2 linked regions of the Coturnix japonica genome follow. The protein of the gene in region 2 binds, or shares a complex with, the protein of the main gene of each other region. Links are inferred from orthologs where the notes say so. Each region holds a gene or a part of one and is shown on either strand. Other genes may lie near its edges.

Region 1 (4,462 bases), on a different chromosome or scaffold from region 2:
CTCACACCAACCCACCTTCCCTTTGGAGAAGGGCTGTCAGGCTGAGATCCCCTTGGAAGCGACCTGCTGTGTGTTGGCACGGATGGGCAGCACACAGTTCTCCCAGCAGGCTGCTGTTCAAACACGGTGTGTTTATGGTGGTGGGGAGCCAGGAGGCTTTGTATGGCTGTTCTCCTGTGGGCTGAGGGCTGTGTGTGCACATCCAGGTGAGTCAGCACCAACCTCCTGCATCAGCACCTCCAGGTGTGGCTGTGTGCGTGAAGGAAGGTGCAGCACAGACAGGCTGCAGTTGTGCTGCCTCTGCAGGTTTCAGTGCACAGAGCAGTGTGTGCCCAGCACAGCTCATGGGGCTGCATTGCAATGCTCCCCTATGATTCCCTATGATGCTCCATCCCTGCATTCAGGTGTCCTTCCCACACTGTACCTCCAACAGCTATTTCTACAAGTCCAAAATGCCAGAAATATAACAAAAAATCACCAAAATGTGACACGTTTTTATTAAAAAAATAATTTACTGCATCTTATGTACAAATCAAATGAAGGTCCGCTCATTAAATACTGACATCAGTGACAAAAGCTGCAGGCAGGAGAAGCGAGCTTTCCTACTATGTTGAACCAGCTGGAACTCAAGGCAGGGATGTTTGTTCAGTGTCTGTAGCTCAGTGTGTTCCTGAGCCATTCCAAGTATTGCCATATATATATTGAGGTGTATAGGGAGGATGAAGTGGTGTTCATGCAGCGTTATTTGCCGTACGTTTCACTGCTCTTAGGTAATCCAATCTGTGAGCAATCCTGTTGCAGCTCATGGCATCGTGGGGAGGAGATGCGATGTGATGAGAGGCAGGAGGCGTTCATGAAGCTGGCTGCACGCCCTGTAAGATCTGATGCTTCTCCCTCCTGCTGTCTGAGGAGGATTCTTGGTGGCTGTCTGTGAGATTTCATGCACAGCAGACACTGGCTGATACTTAAAGATCTAATTCCTTACGGCTTGCACCTGGTTGTACTCTACAAGTGATACCACCGAAGATACTCAGCACCCCTAAATACCACTATCAGCACAGAGCCATCACGGGCAGCAAGTTGAGGTCCAACCTCATCTCATGGAGTTAACAAAACACACATTGATTTTAATTGAACTGAGGATTCACTGAGATATAAAAAGCCTGGAGCAGGCTCTAACTCAGTCTGCTCTGTGTCACAGGGCTGGCCTGCTTGCTAGAAACTCAGTACCACCAGCCACACACACTCACATTCCTCAAAACAGACTGGCAGAGGTGGAGCAGCCATGCTGAATCAAGGCTGCTTTCCTTTATGCTCTGAGCCCTACAGCCTAGAGAGAGGCACACGCAAAGCCCTGTGGAGCTGAGTGCCTGACTGCCTGCTCCACAGTCCTCCCTGCTGCCCTGCCAGGTGTTGTTGAGCACCCCCAGGGCTGTGGCAGAGCACAGCAGCTCACAGAGCCACGCGTGGTGAAGGAGCCGGCTGCCAGCTGGTGATTTCATACAGCATATCCACGATGAGCTCGACAATGTCTGCGTTGCCAATGATGGGTCGGAAGAAGAGGTCTGTGATGAGGGCAGGAGGGATGGATTTCAAGGTGGAGGTGATGAGTAAAATGAGGGTAAAGCGGTCCTGGTCCTTGGGGTGTAGGATCTGCACAACTTCCTGAAGCGCTCGCTCGGCTTCCCGCTGGAGGCTCTCGATGTACAGGGAGGCTGTCAGCCCTGGGACATCTGCCAAGAGAAAGGAGGGAAGGATGTGAAGAGGAAGGCTGGAAAACAGCTCGAGGTTTCTCCCATCTCTCTCCCCGTATCTTGGAGAAAAACCTCAGAGCCATTAACAACATGTATTTCAGGGCTGTTGCTTTGAGGGAGTAAATACAGCTAATGAAGCAAACATGGGCTTTGTAGAGTAAGACCCAGGGTTCTTTGATTGCAAGGTAAGGAGGTCTCTGCTTTTAAACACTACATTTTCAGTATCCCTCCTCCCTGCTTCCCAGAGGTAAACTGCATTGCTGGTGCTAATGATGTGAGCAGCTCTCCCTGCTCTCACACACACTTTTGCCCAAACTCTGAGCGACTCCAAGCCAAGAGCAGTGTTTTTAAATGCTAACTCATGCAGGGCTTTCTCTTGCCACCAGCAGGCAGAGCTGGGAGGGTTGAACACTCACCAGGATTAAAGAGAATGGCTCCCTTCAGGTAGGCGTATTCTTTGGGGCTCAAGTCCAGGCTCCAGAAGGTGTTGAGGCTGCACTGCAGCCACTGCACAGCGGCCAGCATGGGCTGAGTCCACTCAGGCTCCTGCCTTTTGCTTTGGCCATCGAGGAGGATCTTCTCAAGCATGCTGGGGGCTGGGGTCTCCATCACCTCAAATGTCACCGTCTCCTGGACCAGCCCCAGGAGGAAGAGGGGGACCCAGCAGCTGTCCAGCAGCAGGAGCTGGTCCCCTCGAGGCAGCAGGTGGAAGGAAGGGAGGTTTTTCATGAAGCTGATGGTTTTCACCAACACGTCGGATGCAGCTTGGCAGGTGATATGGGGTGTCCGGAGGCAGACCGTCCAGCGCTGGTGGCACAGGCAGCGTTGGTGAGGTGGGCTGTGGCTCAGGTTCTGGCTGAGGAGGGTGTAGAGAATGGCTGGGTGTTTGTCTTCATGCTGGCACTGACACCTCTCGCAGTCCATGTCTATGCTGCTGGTCATCAGAGCAGAACTGGGAGCCCCGGATCCTCTGTGAAACTCCGCAGATGGGAGAGACCTGTAAGTTTCCTCCCCGTCTCAATCTGGGAGTGACCTGTCCTCCCAGCTCTGCCAGCACATGGCTGTTCAAACAAGCTCTTATAAGGCTCGGTCACAAGTGGAACACCCCTTCCCAGCCTTGACCGCTCCGTGATTAAGCGGTCCTCATTAAAGAAGAAAAAAAACAACAAAAAAAAAAAGCCACCAACCCCAGCTGTCCCCAGACTGATTGGCTGGAACCAGCAGGATCTCAGCATGGCGTCAATGGCCGTTTTCTCAATGAAACCCCAGCAGGGGCAGCGGGTTGGGCAGCCTTATCACAATTACCCAAACAGTATAAACAAAGTCATTAACCCGGGCTGTACCATGGCACCAAGGCCCCACGCTGCAATCAGGTTGTGCTATCTGGCAGCTGTCGCTGCCAAGGAGTTCACACACACACACACATACACACACACACATACACACACAGGGTGTTCGTCTGAAGCGAGGACCCCATGGCAAATGGCCTTGGAAAGAGCAACCTGGAAGTCATTTTATCAGCAGCTGTTTGCCTAACCTTGTTGACAGGAGATCGGTGTTGTTGCAGTTAAGGAAGGTGGTGAACTGAAAGACTAAACCTAAAGGCAGCAGCCCATTGTGCTGAAGGAGTAATGCTGGGTAGGTGAGAGGCAGGTTTATAGGTTTTTACCTTGAATTGCTCTGGAATTTGTATGTTTTGATCAGCATTAGTTAAATGACAGCACACAATTATGGATTCCAGTGGGGCCTGTGAGGAATTCCTCACACAGGGGGTGCCTGGTGAACCCTGTGAGGATGGGAACAAGTGATTTGGCAGGACACGGGGAAATGGTTTTAAGTTAAAAGAGGGAAGATTTAGGTTGGATGTTAGGGGGAAGTTCTTCACTAGGAGAGTGGTTAGGCCCTGGAACAGGCTGCACAGGGAGGTTGTGGATGCCCCGTCCTTGGAGGTGTTCAAGGCCAGGTTGGACGGGGCCCTGGGCAACCTGATCTATGGGGTCTCTATGGGGTCTCTATGGGGTCTATGGGGTCTATGGGGTCTCTATGGGAATCTATGGGGTCTATGGGGTCTCTATGGGGTCTATGGGGTCTATGGGGTCTCTATGGGGATCTATGGGGTCTCCTGGGCAACCTGATCTAGTAAATGTGTATGTTTTATGGCCCTGCCAGGCAGGGGGTTGGAGCTACATGATCCTTGAGGTCCCTTCCAACCCGGGTCATTCTGTGATTGATTCTGTGATTTAAGGGCACGCAGCTCTTGGTGCACAAATGGGATGGAACTGATGGCCACACTGATGGCTTTTCACCAAAAAAACACCCATCTACCTGCATTTGTCGGCCAACACAAGTCAGCCTGGGGAAGCGGCAGCACCTGCTGATTGATTTAATGGAGCAATAGGAACCCTATGGGGATAAGGACCACTCACTCTAATGCACACAGCTCTCAGTGCAATGGAGTGAACCCAGCAATGAGGCCTACAGCAGCCACAGGGACCAGCATAGCCTGTCCATACTGCAGATTACAGGCTCTTTGTGCTGCTTAGGCCTGGATTAGAGGCTCTTTGAACTGTGTGGTGTCTGTGGAGGAGATACAGGTAAAGCCAAGGGTAAAGTACCCGGATGTAGGCGACCCCATGGAGCCTTCTGGAAAGGCCTAGGCCCAGGCCCAGCCGTCTCCATAGCAACCGAGCCCCGCTCCACTCTTCCCG
Region 2 (3,802 bases):
TGCCAGCGGCGTGGGGCGGACGCGGGGCGGCAGCGGACGGGGGAGGAGAAAGGCCCGGCCCCCTCTCCGCTCCCGCGGCCGCCGCTCCGGGACCCGGCGCTGGGACCGAGTGCTCTGTCCTCGCAGGAGAAAGAAAAAAATAAAGTGGGAAAGCGGGGGCTTTCCGAGCGCTTGGCGGGGAGCCTCCTCTGCGGGCGAAGAAAGGGGCGGGTGGGCCGCCCCTGGCACCTCCGAACCCCCGGCCCACTCCGCCCCTGCTTCCCTGCGGGCTCCCGGGACGACATGGGACGGCTTCCGAAGAGCCACGGGGCAGGACCCGCCGCTCGGGGCATGTAGGGGAGGGAGCGGGCGGCGTCCGCTCACGGGGCTGCGGGAACCGATTCCTCCCCGGCCGGTCGAGGCGCTTCCAGCTCGGGCGTCCCGCCGTCACCCGCGGAGGGACCCGGCACGGTGCACCGCACGCCGGGGTCTTGGCGAAGTTTCGCCCCGCGGCTGCTGCCACCTGCGCTGTACCCGTGGGGTGCCGGCAGCGGCCGTCCCCTCGGACCCCGGGGTTGGCACTCGGGCTGTTCTCCGGGACTTTTCCGTGCCGCTCCTCCGCCGTAAACTTAGCGATAGTTTCGGGCGGAGCGGGGATGGGCCGCCCGCGTCCGTTCCGGCCCACGGCGGTGTCCCCGAGCAGCGACCCGCGAGCGTCTGCACCCCCGGACAAGGCTCCCGCCCGCCGCGGCCGCGCCTCCCGGCCGGGCTCTGCCACGATCCGGCGCCGGTGCCCGCCCGAACCGGGAAGGAGCGAATTCGGAGGAGCTCGAGGGCGGCAGCCCTAAACTTTTTTGGCAGGACGCGGGGGCGGTTTGCAGGGTGGGGAGCCGAGCGTGCGCGGAGGGGGAGCGCCGTGCAGTTCCTGGACCCTTACCTTGCATGTTTTCTGGCATCTGCCCCTGTTCCCCATTCGACCGGGCGAGTCCCAGAGCCTCCGTCTCCACTTTGGGCAGCATGACAAGGCGGCTGCGGGCCGGGCTGGGAGCTCCGTGTCCGTCCGCGGCACCGGCACCTGGACACGGCAGCACAGATTTAGCGGGACCGCGGGGCGCTCGGCGGCCGATGCCTCTTCTTCCTCCTCCTCCTCTTCCCTCCCTCCGCTCCGCGCCAGCCCTTGCCCCGCCGCAGCGGGAGCGCCGAGCGGCCCCGGCCGCCGGGAAGCGCCGCCGGGTGCCCGCGGCCGGGAGAGCCGCGGAGCGGTTGTCGGTCTGCAGGCGGCGGGGGCGGAGAGGAGAGGAGGAGGAGGAGGAGGAGGAAGACCGGGGGGGTGTCGGAGAGGAAGGAGCGACCCCGGGGGCCCGCAGCAGCTCCGCCCGGGGCTCAGCGCGGCGGTAGCCCGGCGCCCCGATCCATGCGGAGAGGCGCAGTGCACGGGAGCGCTCTGCCGCCGCCGGTGCTGCTGGACAGGGTTCCCACCCCCGGCCCCCTCCTCCCTTCCTCCCTCCTCCTCCTCCTCCCCCTTTCCCCCGCCACAAGTGCGGAGGTGCCGAGCCGGGACCTCTCGCCCCGGACCCGTGGGGAGGCGCTCCCGGAGCCTGGGGGCCGCGGGGGGCTCCGGCGAAGGGGGGCACCGACACGGCTCTAGCAGCCAATACGGCGGAGGAGAAACGAGCGACACCCCCGCGCACACACGCGCGCACACACACGCTCGCACACGCTCGCACAGCGTGATCGCCCCCCGCCCGCTTGTTGGCCGGGGCTGCGGGGCCGGGGCTGCAGCCGAACCCGCCCGCTCCAGAACAGCCCGACGGCCCCCAGACCGCCGCGCACCCGCTGCAGCTCCCCTCTGACTCCCGCGGGATCCCCGGCGCTCTCCTGTCCTCCTGCGGGCGGGGACAGGCAGCGGGAACCTCGGCGTCTGGGGATCCCCGGCCCTCGGGACCCGCTGCCGCCTCTCTGCCCCAGAGCCTGAACGTAGCGGGCGGGAGCTCGCCCTGTCTATTCTGTCTCTTTGCGTCTCCTTTCCCTAAAACTTCTTGCGAAATCTATCGCTGCCGGTTGCATCGTTTGCACAAAATCCGATGCTCCGGCCGAGCCATCGCTTGAGCAACCGCTTCCCTTCCTCGGCTCACGGTGCAGCGTGCGGCACCACTCCCCGCGTTATCCCAGATAACTCGTTTCTCTAACGGCGGTGTCTCAGCTGGAGCTGGGCGACCCCGCAGGGCGAGGCGGCCCGTCCCGGTCACGCTGCGGGCACGGCGGGCTCCGGCCGCCCCCACCGGGCGGTGTGGGCTGAGCGTTATTGTCACCTCTGCGAGCATCCGAGACCCCCCTCCCGTGCTGCCCCGGGAGTTCAGTCACCGTTGTGTATATGAAAAGCTGAAAATAGTCGGCGCTGAAAACTGCTTCCGATTGCAAATGAGGCGCGGAACCGTCTGCGGCGCTGGGGACCGCTTTTCCCATCGGATGGGACAGATTTCGGAGCAGTGGACCCGTGCTCGAGCTTAAAGCCGCTTGTGATGAACGAAAGGGAGCGGGGGGGGGTGCATCGCGTGTGCCATATTCTCCACAGTTGGAACTTTCCTCACCCACCGACGGGCAGAGCTTTGCTTAACTGAGTGCAGACCCCGAGCCTGCCTTACACAGACACACAAATGTGTCTGTCATTCCCACTCTGTGCAGGGCGTTGTGGGGCTGGACCCAGCAGGCAGTGAGGCTCGGAGCTTACGGGCTCCTTACGTTTTGCCGTTCCCCTTCGGGATGAAGCCGTACAGGGAAGTTTTGGTCCATGTCACGGCGTTATTGCTCAGGCTGTAACTTCACACCTTAGCATCTCTCCCGCAGCCCGACGCAGAGGCGCGACAAGCCGCGGGACGCGCCAGCGCGGTGCTCAGCGGGGCGGCCGAGAGCTCCCGAGGGGCTGCGCCCATCCCCTGCGAGGAGCGGGCCCGGCCGAGACCGTGCGGCCGCTGGGGAGCATCTCCCCCGGGCCTCAGTCACAGACAAGCCCACGGAACCGCGTTGCCGTGCGTCACCCGCCCCGGCTCCGGGCTGCGGTTCGGCTTTGGCCGGGGCTGAGCGCAGCAACGGCTCCGCTACCTCGGGCGCCCGTCCCGGGACTCGAAGCTCGGGGCTCGGGCCGGGGGCTGCGCTCTGCGGCGAGGCCACGGCTTCGGGCCCGGCGAGAGGGCGGCCCGCTGAGCCGTCGGGGAACCGCCGCTCCCTCTCCTCTCGGTCACGCCGCACGGGACTAAGTCCCGCCGAGGCGCCCCGTGCCGCTGCTCTCGTGAATTCTGCTCTGAGCAAAGCACCTGCGTTTGGGCGAAAGCTGGGGAAGAGAACCCCGCGGGCAGACCAGGCAGAACGGCCGAAATGCCCGCACCCCGGGCCCGGCCCTGCCGGCGGTCCTCGGGGGCTCCGGTCTCGCTCATGGGCTCTGCATCGTTCTGCCGGGCAGGGATTGGGCAGGCTCGAAGTGCGCGCTGCAGTGCTGCTCTGCCAGCCATCGCTACAGATGAACATACTTTGGAGAGCTTATTACATATCCACGTTTCTCCGAAGTAACAGTTTAGGGCAGTACACATTATAAATGATACCTGGTCCCTCGTGGCTACGTTTAATTTAACATGGAGTTCTAGCACTCACGATTGCCTTGAGCAACCTTAATTACCCTTTCTTCTAATCTCTTCTCCATTCCTTACCAAGTTCTCTAAACTTTTTTTAAATGTGATTTCTCTCCTGAGTTTGCCTGCCTTGTTCTGACTTTGCCTGAAGGTCTTGATTGACGCGTGTAATTATAATTATAAAAGATGATGGCTCG

What was found.
Region 1: the proteins of NR5A2 (region 2) and NR0B2 are in contact, whole or in part, in a crystal structure (PDB 1YUC), measured with the Homo sapiens proteins. The link is inferred for Coturnix japonica from reciprocal best matches to the Homo sapiens genes NR5A2 and NR0B2. Residues at the interface, in NP_995582.1 of Homo sapiens: Phe354, Val357, Arg361, Phe366, Val371, Asp372, Gln374, Met375, Leu378, Gln379, Asn529, Asn530, Leu531, Glu534, Met535; in NP_068804.1 of Homo sapiens: Arg17, Pro18, Ala19, Ile20, Leu21, Tyr22, Leu24, Leu25, Ser26, Ser27, Ser28.

What each region holds. Positions count from the first base shown.
Region 1 is NC_029538.1:1,621,885-1,626,346, forward strand, and holds NR0B2 (nuclear receptor subfamily 0 group B member 2), read right to left. Parts: upstream 2,877-4,462; 5' UTR 2,697-2,876; coding exon 2,171-2,696; intron 1,734-2,170; coding exon 1,453-1,733; 3' UTR 475-1,452; downstream 1-474. UniProt on the Homo sapiens protein: Transcriptional regulator that acts as a negative regulator of receptor-dependent signaling pathways. Specifically inhibits transactivation of the nuclear receptor with which it interacts.
Region 2 is NC_029523.1:1,557,309-1,561,110, forward strand, and holds part of NR5A2 (nuclear receptor subfamily 5 group A member 2), read right to left. Parts: intron 1,055-3,802; coding exon 917-1,054; intron 1-916. UniProt on the Homo sapiens protein: Orphan nuclear receptor that binds DNA as a monomer to the 5'-TCAAGGCCA-3' sequence and controls expression of target genes: regulates key biological processes, such as early embryonic development, cholesterol and bile acid synthesis pathways, as well as liver and pancreas morphogenesis.